Linked DNA regions of Macaca fascicularis. The protein of the gene in region 3 purifies or fractionates together with the protein of the main gene of each other region. This does not show direct contact. Links are inferred from orthologs where the notes say so. Each region holds a gene or a part of one and is shown on either strand. Other genes may lie near its edges.

Evidence for each region. The genes of interacting proteins can lie anywhere in the genome.
Region 1: the proteins of SRPK2 (region 3) and RBM26 purify together in Homo sapiens (co-immunoprecipitation; 3 studies listed by BioGRID and IntAct, with this or other methods). This does not show direct contact. The link is inferred for Macaca fascicularis from reciprocal best matches to the Homo sapiens genes SRPK2 and RBM26.
Region 2: the proteins of SRPK2 (region 3) and GTPBP4 purify together in Homo sapiens (affinity purification with mass spectrometry; 3 studies listed by BioGRID and IntAct, with this or other methods). This does not show direct contact. The link is inferred for Macaca fascicularis from reciprocal best matches to the Homo sapiens genes SRPK2 and GTPBP4.

What each region holds. Positions count from the first base shown.
Region 1 is NC_088391.1:70,464,885-70,469,066, forward strand, and holds the start of RBM26 (RNA-binding protein 26), read right to left. Parts: upstream 2,809-4,182; 5' UTR 2,350-2,808; coding exon 2,279-2,349; intron 1-2,278. UniProt on the Homo sapiens protein: May be involved in the turnover of nuclear polyadenylated (pA+) RNA.
Region 2 is NC_088383.1:1,341,162-1,345,223, reverse strand, and holds the start of GTPBP4 (GTP-binding protein 4), read right to left. Parts: upstream 2,809-4,062; 5' UTR 2,766-2,808; coding exon 2,718-2,765; intron 1-2,717. UniProt on the Homo sapiens protein: Involved in the biogenesis of the 60S ribosomal subunit. Acts as a TP53 repressor, preventing TP53 stabilization and cell cycle arrest.
Region 3 is NC_088377.1:146,914,744-146,918,958, forward strand, and holds the start of SRPK2 (SRSF protein kinase 2), read right to left. Parts: upstream 2,859-4,215; 5' UTR 2,838-2,858; coding exon 2,711-2,837; intron 2,386-2,710; exon of another isoform or gene 2,269-2,385; coding exon of another isoform or gene 2,253-2,268; intron 2,164-2,252; coding exon 2,109-2,163; intron 1-2,108. UniProt on the Homo sapiens protein: Serine/arginine-rich protein-specific kinase which specifically phosphorylates its substrates at serine residues located in regions rich in arginine/serine dipeptides, known as RS domains and is involved in the phosphorylation of SR splicing factors and the regulation of splicing.

The DNA.
Region 1 (4,182 bases), on a different chromosome or scaffold from region 3:
TGGCTACAGTCTTCTCATTTAGGTAAGACGGGGGGATACGGCAGTAAATCTGATATGAAACTGAACGCCTAAAGGAAAGCTATTTCAACCCAAAACATTTATAAGTTTTGTGTTCACCTAATAACTACTGAATGCTAATTACACACCAGGCAGTAGTCTAAGATTTCCTTAATATATATTCATTATTTTCCCAATTTTACAGTTGAGGAAATGGAAGCCCTGAGTTAAGTAACTTACCCAATATCATACAGCTGGTAAGCGGCAGCGGCAGTATTCAAAACCAGACATTCTGCTCCAGAGTTCTTCTCACCCCTATACTATGATGCCCACCCTCCAATACACTGAAATAGGGCTTCCATCTGCACAACTCCACTCCAGTCAAACTATTTTGCTAAGGTTACCAACGACTTCCACTTTGCTACATCTAAGGGCCACCTATTTGCCTACATTTTTTCACGCATTCTGCAGCATTTCATAAACTCCTCTCTTTTGTCACACACTTGTTCTTTAATGACATAAAGCCCAGTTTTCCTCCTGCCTCAGTACTAGGTCCTCTTCTCTTCCCTATCTACACATTTTTCGTAGGAAATTTCCCACAATGTCATGGTTTTAAATACCATCTGCATGACTCCAGATTTCTCCAGTCCTGAGTTCTAGACTCATACATTCAATGATCTCACACTTAGATGTATCCCACAGACTTCATACTTACTGTATTTATTATCAAAACTAGCCAACCCCTTTCCTTCTCTCCTTAACCTGTTCTCTGCCTTCTCTACTATAAACCATTCAGTTGCTTGGTTTATCTAAGGCGATCATCACCCTTGATTTCCCTTTCCCTCATCTCCCACATTTAATCCATTAATTTTACTTACGAAATGTATTTGGATCTGCCTGTCTCCACCATCACTCTAATGCAAACTAGCCACATCTCTGCCTACAATAAATTCTAATGCAAACTAGCCACATCTCTGCCTACAATACCCTTCTGAATAGTCTCCTTACTTCCATTCTTGTCCTCTCAGTCGCTACAAAATAGGCAGACTAAAAACAAAATTAAATCAGTCCTTGTCTGCTTTAAATCATCTCACATCTTCCCATACATGATGTGGCCCCTACCTACTTGTCCAACTTCTCTTACATTCTCTCCCTCATCACAAGGCTCCTTGCAGCCACAATGGCCTTTCTCTTCCTGAAACACACCACAATTACTTCTGCTACAGCGCCTTTCATTTGCTCTTCCTTTTGCAAGAAACGTTCTTTTCCAAGACTTTGACACAGATGGTCCCTTCTCTTCTTTAGATGTTGCTCCAATGTCACCTTCTCTGAGAGTCCTTCCTTGACCAATGTGAAGTAGCCTCCCTCATAATCACTCTTTTACATGATTATTAAAATAGTCACAGCTCTATTAATATCTGGATTTATCTCTTGTCAATTTTAGAATTTAAAAGCTCTATCCCCAAAGCCTCCCGTAGTACATAGTAGGTACCTAATAACTTCATTAAATGCGTGAATTTTCCTCATTGCATTATAAATCAACCAATTCTGATAAAGCACTTGGTCCATGTTATATTTAGTATTAACAAGTCGTGAAAACACTCCTTAAATTTTCCAATCTAAGACTATTTCAGCACTCTAAGGCCCCCCCAACACAAAGTCTATCTATAGCATCCCACTTAAAACTGCTAAATATTCCATATGTATGAAGATTCAATTTTCTTTCTCCTCTCCAAGCTAACGAACGTGTAGGCGGGAAAGGGGAATTTTACTGGCCACCTCAGCACCTGTTACATCTTCAATCAGTGAAGAGAGGTGCAGATGAGCCAGACAGCACATGGGAGACGTGGCCTTGCTTTCAGGAATTGTATTTAGGTGAAACGTGAGTGATTTAAGCTAGAACTGCCCGAATCCCTAATAAAGGCCGTCTACTTCATTTAGAAAAACAAGGTAAAATAGTCTGTAGGAAGGAAAATACAGTCGGTTTCACTAAAAACCGATTTTGAGGCCCTCGGAAAATATTGGGGGTGGGGGGTTGGAATCGGTCTACATATAACGGGAAAACGAGACCAGCTCAGCAATAAAATAAAACTCGAGTCAGGCTCTTGGGGGTATCTTGAACCTAGAAGCGAGGTGGACGAGGAGGAAAAGCCACAGAGCCCTGGGACCTCCGTTCACCGCTTCGGCCTCCACCGTGGGCGCTCGGGGAAACCGCACAGATCTGTGGATCCGCCTATCTCCCACTGCCATCCCTGCAGAGAGATATCCCCCGGATACTCACATGGGCTCGAGAGTCTTGCTGAGCCAGGACTTGAGTGCCTCGAAGTTTTCAATGATCATTTTAGAAACCATCCACAGCGGCCCTAAGGCCCGTCACACTCCTCCGCCCGCCCAGGTCGCAGCCGCTACAGCCGCCGCTGCCCCCGCCCCCTCCTCCGCGCGCCGCCCGCGTGGGCCGCGGTGGGAGGCGCCGGTGGCAGGTTCCCGCGGGCCCCGGTCGGTGAACAGCTCTGCAAGGACCGCCGCAGGCCGCAAATCCACGGGATGCCAGGAGCTCCCCGTCCCCGGACCCTGGCCCGGGCTGAAGCAGCAACGGTTTGCCCGGGCCCTCCCCCTTCCCTCTTCCCCAGCAAATCTACCCAGACCGGAAGCGCGACACGCGCTTAGACCCAGGCGTTCTCTCGGCCTCGGGACCAGGTGCTTGTTGGCTACGTCGAAAAGGCAAAAGTAAAGAAAGCGAAGGCGAAGGGCAGCTCAATGGGAACGATTCAGGGGGTCTTCCTGCCTCCCAGCACCCCCAAGAAGATGGCTGCCGATAAATCTCGCGATAATTGATGAAGTCTCGCGGTGGTTCCTGGAGCCTGCTGGGAAGAGACGTAAGGTCGGCGGAGAATGCGCGGGTCGAGTGCTGTAGTTCGGTTTTTGAGTGTGTGCTTTGCTTGCGGCCTTTGTGCCTTTTTATTCTTTGCTTATCTTTATGATATAAAGAACTTATTTCTTACAAGGAGGGAGTCCTAGCTCGTCCCCGAGCTAGAACTTCAGAAACAGCGGGAGCCCTAGCTCGTCCCCGGTAAGACGGCCGTGGCCTGTCAGCTGGAACGGATCTGCCGGATGGATCGCTTGTTGAGAGCGTACACACCCGCGTGCGCGACACCAGGCGGCCCGTAGGTTCCAGGTGCAGAGCGCGCTTCCTCGTCAATTTACCCAAGTGCCCTACCAGTACCATATTCTGTGTATGCTGTGATGTGAACGAGGTTTATAAATACAGGCTGGTCTAATGGAGTCCAACGAGACCGCCAGATGATTAGTGCCTTGTCCAACAGTACTCGACTTGTTGGTAGAGCCCTAATGACTCAGGGATGCTCCAAGGGAAAGGTGAGAGAACCTTCACGTCTCTCAGGTAGTTTCCAGCCTGCACTTTCCCCCAGATAAAGATAAGTTTTGTTATTTTTAAAATGCTCTTTATTTAGAGCAAATTCAGCCCTATCTCACATCGGGAGATTATATAGTATCAAAAAAGAGAGTCTTCATATCAGCAACCCAAATAAACTCTTTTCCTGGGTGATCAAATAAGTTTGATTCCTGCTTGAGTTCTATTTAGATACTAGGTGGAATTTTACGAAGCGTCTACGTTCCATGAACTGTAGTGGAATGAAAATATTCACAGTCTAAAGACATTTTCAGTAAGGAGATCAATGAAAGCTCTTTATGAGAGACACCGGTAGGCTAAATTGTTCTTAGAAACTCTGAGTTTATAATTTGCTAGAGTGAAGTCTCCTCAAGGATTAAGTGGAAAGATTATGAACTACAAAGCAAGACATTTGTTTTAAAATACAGCATATAGAGTAGAATACAAATTAGAATCCAGCTACTGAATAACCAGGGTGTTGATTAAAGTGATTTAGCTAAGTGAAATAAACCAGACATGAAAGGACAAATATTATGATTCTACTTACATTAAGTATCTAGAGTAGTCAAAACTTCTAGAGACAGAAGCTGGAAAGGTAGCAAGAGCAGGGGTGGAGAGGGTGCCCAGGAGAAGGGGAAATGAGGAGTTATTTTTCAGTGAATAATAGAGTTTCAGTTTAGGATGATTTAGATTCTGGAGATGAGTGGTGGTGTGTGGGTTGCACAATATGAATGTACTTAATGCAGTGGACCATATACTTAATGAAAAGGGTAGGT
Region 2 (4,062 bases), on a different chromosome or scaffold from region 3:
AACAAAGGTTGTTAAGGATACTTGGGTGCTGAAGATAATGAACAAGATACTGTCCCTTCCTTCACGGAATTCAGGGTCCAGTGACAGAAGTAAACACGTAGGCACAACACAGTCTGCCAAGTATTATACTATGAGGGGCACGCACCGTCTCCCCTCTGGGTCTACAAGTGAGACAAGTAAACAGGTGGTCACAACAGTCTTCCATGTACTATGAGGGGCACACACGGTCTTCCCTCTGGGCCTACAGAAGTTCTTCCCTACATTTTTCTGCACCTAATGGCGTTCACACATCCTGAAGGGGGACCAGTTCAAAGGTTACCTACTTCATAAGATCGCCCCTGACTCTCCAACTTACCACAGCTAACTGCACTCTTCTCTCCCAATCCATGTGGGTCCTCCATGATAACAATGTTTCATTTCTAGTATGGTCATTCATGATGCCACTTACCCTTTTTTATTTTGTTTTGTTTTGTTTTGTTTGAGACAGAGTCTTGCTCTGTCGCCCAGGCTGAAGTGCAGTGGCAGCACAATCTCCGCTCACTGCAAGCTCCGCCTCCTGGATTCACGCCACTTTCCTGCCTCAGCCTCACCAGCAGCTGGGACTACAGGTGCCTGCCACCACGCTCAGCTAATTTTTTTGTATTTTTAGTAGAGACGGGGTTTCACCGTGTTAGCCAAGATGGTCTCGATCTCCTGACCTTGTGCTCTGCCCGCCTCAGCCTCCCAAAGTGCTGGGATTACAGGCATGAGCCACCGCGCCGGCCTCGACTTACCCCTCTTGACAACGACTTCCAAAGAGGCAGGTATTTTATCTAATGCATTTTTGTAACACAGTACCCAACGCATAGGACAGGCACTCACTTAACAGCTTCTAGAATGAACTGAATACCACACACTTTCCTGATGTGATTTTTTTTTTTTAACTTCCAATCACCAAACAATTACCATCACCCATTTTTTAGGTAAGTAAACTCATGTGTTCTCTAAAAATACAAATCTCATTCCACAGAAGATGGATGGTGTACTAACATATCCTAAAGTTCTCCACATAAGTCAATAACATGAACAAAGTTCATGTAATCCAAAGAGCAAATTCCTTCAACAAACTTGAGAGATGGCTGACCAAAAATACAAATAAGACATGATTCCTGCACTGGAAAATACTACAATCTGGCCGGGCGCGGTAGCTCATGCCTGTAATCCCAACACTTTGGGAGGCTGAGGCAAGTGGATCACTTGAGATCAGGAGTTCAAGACCAGCCTGGCCAACATGGTGAAACTCCATCCTACTGAAAATACAAAAATTAGCCAGGCCTGGTGGCCTGCACCTGTAATCCCAGCTACTCAGGAGGCTGAGGCAGGAGAATCACTTGAATCTGGGAGGCGGAGGCTGCAGTGAGATGAGATCCACCACTGCACTCCAACCTGGGCAACAGAGCGAGACTGCATCTCAAAAAGAAAGAAAGAAAGAAAATACTACAATCTATCAAGAGATGTGTCACAACAATTGTCAGGAAGAAATGAGAAATGGAGAGAAGTGGGGAAACAATTATTGCTATGAAGGTAAAATACGAGACTCCCACAAAGCTTTCCAAGGCAAGCTCATTCCGTTGTTAAGACGTGAAGAAAAGGAGACACTGATGAGAGGAAAACAGTCACTCTGCAGGGACTTCAGTAACTCCCTCTCGTGCAGCAGTCCCTGAGAGGCTCGAGTTGCCCGTCAATGTCTCTGTAATTGCGACCCAAATCGAATGTTCACTACATAAAAACATGACTTCTTAAAAAAGCCGTAATACCAGGGCCGGGTGTGGTGGCTCACGCCAGTAATTCCAGCACTTTGGGAGGCCGGAGCGGGAGTTCGATGGATCTCCAACTCCCTGGGATCTCCCTGGGAGACCTGGGATCAGGAGTTCGAGGCCAGCTTGGCCAACGTGGTGAAACCCCGTCTCTACTAATAACACAAAAATTAGCCGTGCGTGGTGGCGCACGCCTGTAATCCCTGTTACTCGGGAGGCTGAGGCAGGAGAATCGCTTGAACCCGGGAGGTGGAGGTTGCAGTGAGCCTTGATCGCGCTCCAGCCGGGGAAACAAAAGCGGAAAACTCTGTCTCGGGGAAAAAAAAAAAAAAAAAAATTCTAACACTTAACACTTGTTGACTCATTCTTGCCACACTAACCAACGCTGTAAAAATTTAGTCTGGGCCTACTATGGTCTAAAAAGAACAGGAGTTCCCAAATCTAACAGTGAAAGAGAATGACTTAAAAATTAAGAAATGTTAAATCACGATAGCAACGAACCGAGGATTCCTGAGAGGGGAGGGCGCTACGCCAAATCCAGAATCTGAAGGCTCATCACGGACCACGGAGTGCTTCCTCCCTCACATGTTGGGGTCCCCTCCACTCGCCCACCTCGTCACCCGGAGCCCCTCCAGGGAACCCTACTCTGGGTGGACCCCGATCTCTGGGGGCCCTCAGTCTCTGGGTGGACCCCGGTCTCAGGTGGACCCGGGTCTCTGGGGGATCCGATCTCTGGTGGACCCCGGATTCTGCTGGGGGAGGGGAAATGATCTCGAGTACGCGTCCGGCAGGTCGGGCCCGGGAGCGGGTGGTGGGCGAGCGGAAGGCGACCGCTCTCCCACGGCTACAGGCCCGGACCCTCCCCTGAGACCCCGCTAATGAGAAGGCGAAAGTAGCAGTGGCCCTCCCGGAGCCACCTACCTTGGCGGACGGCACCACCGTAATTTTCTTGAAGTTGTAGTGCGCCATGCCGGCTGCCGTATGCACGCGGGTACTGGGCACTCCCGGAACTTCCGCCGTCGGGAGCAGGAGGGACTTCCGCCGTCGGGCGCTTGCTGTACGTCACTTCCGGGAGCCAAACGTGTCTTGCGTGCTCTATGGCGCTTTCGGCGTCGCACAGCGCACCCGCCCGGCCTGGAGGTCCGCCGCGGAGAGTGTGTGAGGGCCCCGGGAGCGAGGGCGCGGGGGAGAGGACGCCTGGGTTTTAGGGGGCGCGCGGAGACTAAATTCATGCTGGGTAAAGAAGAGGCTTCCGACAGACTGCCCTGCGGGTTTCTGGAGCGAGTTCAGGCCCCCAGCCACCCGCCCTGGACCAGGGTTCGAGGGGGGTCTTGGGATTTGGGGGATGCGGGGCTTAGGAGTCCGGAGGGTCGAGGGTATCTGGGAGTCTGGGCGTCCGGGGTCGCGGCGAGCCCCGCGGAGGAGGAGGGAGCCGCGCGTGCGGGGCGTGCCCGGGCTCTGGGTGTAGAGCGGGTGACGCCCCCCACTCTGATCCCGGGCGGTGGTGAGGAGGCCCTCGCGGCTCCCCTGCAGGCTTCCTTTCTCGTGCTTGTTAAATCCCAAAACGGGCGGAGAAGGGAAATCCTGATCTCAGGCGAAAGAGGTGCCGCTGGTTCCGCAGAGTGCCTTAGGAGAGCGGAGGAAGCAGTTGCGAGAGACAGTCCTGTGGGGTCCAACAGAGGAGAAAGGTGATGAGGATGGAGCCTTTACTGCTTTAATGTTTGTGAATAGTGTGGCCGCTCCCTTAAGGAACCCAGGGCCACATCCCGTAAATTAAACGTTAGGTAGGGCTGACTCAGTCAAGCAGTGTTCAGAGCTGTTGACTACATATTAACTCGTTTAATTCCTGCAACTGCCTCATGAAGTGCGTGGGGAAACCCAAGGCACAGCAAGGCCCGAAAGCAGCCCAGGGTTGTGCAGCTAAGGGGCAGCAGAGGTGGGCTTTGAACCCAGGCAGCCTGACTCCAGCAAACCTACTTCTAACGATTAGCTATACTGCTTCTCACGCATCTGGGATGCCCCCCACTCTCCAAACCTTTTAAATAAGTCCTATTATTCTTACACGAAAATACCTCTCATAAATTCCCAACATTCCAATATTGAAAATCATTCTGAGTCATGCTTTTCTCATCTATTAACTATGCTTCCATTTTTGTGTCACAAGGCGGATAAGCATACCTCCTACATCTCTGGCACTTCTAAAGGAAGCTTCTAGGGTAATTAGGATTCGCTGGCTATGATCATTTGCTAAGCCGCAGGACAGTTC
Region 3 (4,215 bases):
GAGGGGATCACCTGAGGTCAAGAGTTGCAGACCAGCCTGGCCAACATGGTGAAACCCCGTCTCTACAAAAAATACAAAAAAAATTAGCTAGGCTGGGTGGCGGGTGCCTGTAATCCCAGCTACTCGGGAGGCTAAGGCAGGAGAATCCCTTGAACCCGGGAGGCGGAGGTTGCAGTGAGCCAAGATCCGGCCATTGCACTCCAGCCTGAGCGACAACAGCGAAACTCTGTCTCAAAAAAAAATTAAATAAAATAATGTATTGATTCAAAGAGTTAAGTGAAAAATGGCATTGCCTCAATCAGTTACATAATTGGGCTGGTCCCATTACCTTCAGACTAGAGTCAGTTCGTTTCATTATTAGCTGGTGTGTTATTTTCCCCCTCAAATTCTATCACACATACACAACACACCGTGGGAGAAACTCGCAGATTAATCTGTGAGAGTATAAACTGAGTACTGTGGCTATTCACTAAGTCTTCATAAACATACCACATAAATCCAAACTGCGGCCCACCAAAAAGGCCCTCGACCATTAGGAAAATCACACCCTAACATATGCAAATACAAGACACATACTGACTTAATTAGAACTGTTTTTCTACCTGTACATATAGGTAACATGCACACATACGTGTCTGTTTGTATACACATGCACACATAGCCATCTCCGACACTGGGGTCACACTTTTTCCACTTCTTTTTATGTTTCTGAATATAACAGACTATGTGGAATTAAATCAATGCTTTGAATTCAGAGCTGTGATTAAAACCCAGTACTTATTCAGAATCCTAAACATTACAGTTCCCCGTACCACTGGGTAAACTTCCATGGTTCACCAAAGGAAATCTCAAATTTAAGGTTGTAATTCACTTGAAAGCTAGCACTAATTTTTTTAAACGCATCTAAAGCTACCAAAAATCCAGTCCATTTTAACATCTTATGAATTCAATATCAAATTTTTACCCACCAATTAGTTCTTCAAGTCTTTAAGAAGTGTTTCCCTTTACTCTAATTTTTTTTTTTTTTAGAAAGTTATTTTTAAGTCACTATCCACATTTTGTGAAACTCTGAAGGACCAAGGCCAACGAGAAGGGGAAAAAAGGAAACAACCAAAAATGTTTCTGGATTTTATTAAAGATGATGCTGGACTCTCGTTCCCCATAGTACCAAAGATGTCACACGGAGTATTATTGCTCAAAAGAGCGAAGCAATTAATCTAGAGGAAGAGATAACGATGTTGAACGCTGGTAAATCAAAAGAATAAGGAGAGAGGAGTGGAAAAGGAGAAGACGCGGCGGCGCTGTGCGGTCTCGGAGCAGCTCTCCAGGAAAGGGTTCTCGGGCAGCGGCCCCCCGGCTCGGGTGAGCGGCCAGACTGGAGGTGGCCAGCGCGGGCGCGTTTTCCACTCCGCCCGGCTCCGGCGCACACGCCCACCGCCCCGCGCAGCCCGCGACCCCGGCGCCCGCAGCGCACCCAAGTCACGCTCGACCCGAGCGGAAAGTTTCGAATCCAAACCAGAGAGCCGAAACGCACAGGTCTCGGGGCTGAACTCGCGCCAGGAACACGCCCGAGGCGAACCACTTGACAACCAGCTCCGGTTCTCAGCAGAAAGGCCGACAGGCGGGGGCCGGGGAGGAAGGGGAGGCGAGACACACGCCCTCGCGCACACTCAGCCCCTCCGACTCCTCCGCCCCGGCTCAGGTGGGAGCAGCGCAGCCGCCGCACTCCCGCACCGGGCGGGCCGGAGCCCCTCCCAGAAAGGGCCGCGACCCCCGGGTCAGCTCGCGCGCAGGGGACCGGTGCGCACGCCCCGCCCGGCGCCTCCCCGCCGGCCTCCCGCCCGCCCGCCGGCCAGTGGCGACCCGGGGCGGGAGGGCGCCGAGTCGAGGCTCCGTGATGCTCGGGAACCGGCCGCGGCCCGCGCGCCCCTCCCCCGCCGCCGCCCCTCCCCCCGGGCCGCCCGCGGGGCGCAGGAGCCGAGCGCCGGCGTCCCGGGAGACCAGCCCGCCCCCCGGCCGGAGGACCTGGACAACTTTCCCCTGCGCGGCCGCGGGCGCCCCCGACGGGGCAGGGGTGGGGAACCGGGACAGGCGCAGCGTGGACTCACTTTTTCGGATGTTTCTCTCTTTTCGGCCTCCGCTTTCGGGCCTGAATGGCCAGCACTGGGGGAAGAGAAGACACACATTAACGGTCGGGCCGCCCGCCAGGGCCGGCCGCGTGGCGGGGAGAGGGCGCGCCGCAGGCCACTCACCTTTCCGGGAGCTCATTCCGACGCGGCGGAAGCGGGGCGGGGGGCTTCGCGGCGGCTGCGGCGGCGGCGGCGACGCGGGCGCCGAGACGAGCCGGGCTGCAGCCTCCACTCGCTCCGCCGGCCGGGAGGAGGCGGGAACCGCGCCTGCGCCGCCACCGCCGCCGCTCCAGCAGGGACCCAGCAAGACCCGCCCCTGGCCGGCCCCGCCCCCGCCCCGCCCCCACCCGCCGGCCCCGGGGGTCGGGACCCCGGAGTCGCGCGCCCCGCGCCCCCGCCCCACCCACCTGTGCAGAGGTGGTCGCCGCCCAAGGCCGCGCTGGCCCTCGGCCTCCCCCACCCCAGCCCGCGGCCCGGGCCTCCGCCTCCTGCGCTCCTGCGGCTGGCCCAGGCCGCCCGCCTCTCCTGGGCACCGGACCCGCGGGACCCTCCCTCCCCGCCGCGGCCTCTCCCCTCCGCACCCCGGCCGGTCGCGCAGCCCGGCGCTCCATGCGCCCTTCCTTGGCCGGCGCCTCCGCGGGTCTCGCACCACCTCTCTTCCCGCGGCCTCTTCTCTCCCTTTGCTCCTCTACATCCTTGCATCCCCATGAGCGCCGCTTCCTCCTCTCCGGCGGGCGTGGAAAGGGCACACGACCAAAAGCTGGGAAACCTGGGTCCGCGATTAGCGGTGTGACCTTGGAGAAGTCATTTTCTCTCCCACCTCTACGTGCCCTCCAGGATTGCATGAGTTTAATGAAGGAAAAGATACAGATAGCATTCAAAGTACGACAATGGTTTTGCACATGAATTGAAACCCGGTTCCCTAAACACCATGTGTATAACAATTCAAAACAACAATCACACCAAGTAGTTATTTTCTGCATCCTGCAATGAGCAAACTGAGTCCCAACGAGGTTAAACAGTTTAACCAGCCAGGATCGAAATTCAGGCATGGCTGGCTGTCGACAAACTCCACCTTATCAGGCTGCCTATAAAAGATGTGAACCAAGTTGATAGTGGCACAAAAAGATAACTATAATGTTCCCTTATTTATGTAAATAATTACAATAGTTTTTGAAAGATAAGCATCCTGACCATTAACTCCCTCCTTGGTCACACAACTGTATCTTCAACTGACAAGGTGGCTTACTCTAAGGATGGTAAAACAGACAGTGCAGGAAAAGCTGCTTGGATTTTGAAGAGCCTTTAACTTTTTGTATTCAAAAATATCAAACCTTTATAGAAAAGTTACAAGAAAAATATAATTCACAGCCAAATTAACCCATATTCACCAATTTTTAACATTCTGCCACATTTGCTATGTGTCTGTGTGTATGGTTTATTTTGCTGAATCATTTGAGTTTTTGTAGACACTGTTACCCTTTATCCGTAAATATTTCGGTAAATATCTACTAGGAACAAAGATAATCTCCCATGTAATCAGAATTCCATGATCACTCCAAGAAACTTTCATGCTAATACAATGTAATCATCTGTAACATACAGGCCATATATATTCAATTTTGCAAAATATCTAAGTAATATCCCTTTTCTTTTTTTCCCAATTAGTCTACCATTAAGGATCATCTGTGGCGTTTAATTGTCATGTCTTTTTAAACACCTTTAGAATCATTCTTGGTTTTGGTTTTCTTTTTATTTATTGATTTATTTATTTAGAAATGGAGTCTCACTCCATCATCCAGGCTGGAGTGCAGTGGCGCAATCTCAGCTCACTGCAACCTCAGCCTCCCAGGTCTAAGCAATTCTCCTGCCTCAGCCTCCCGAGTAGCTGGGATTACAGGCATACAGCACCACATCTAGTTAATTTTTGTATTTTCTTTTTTTAGTAGAGACAGGGTTTCACCCTATTGGCCAGGCTGGTCTCAAACTCCTGACCTCAGGTCATTCACCCACCTCAGCCTCCCAAAGTGCTAGGATTATAGGCCTGAGCCTTGACACCCAGCCCTTTTTTTGTGTTGTTTTGTTT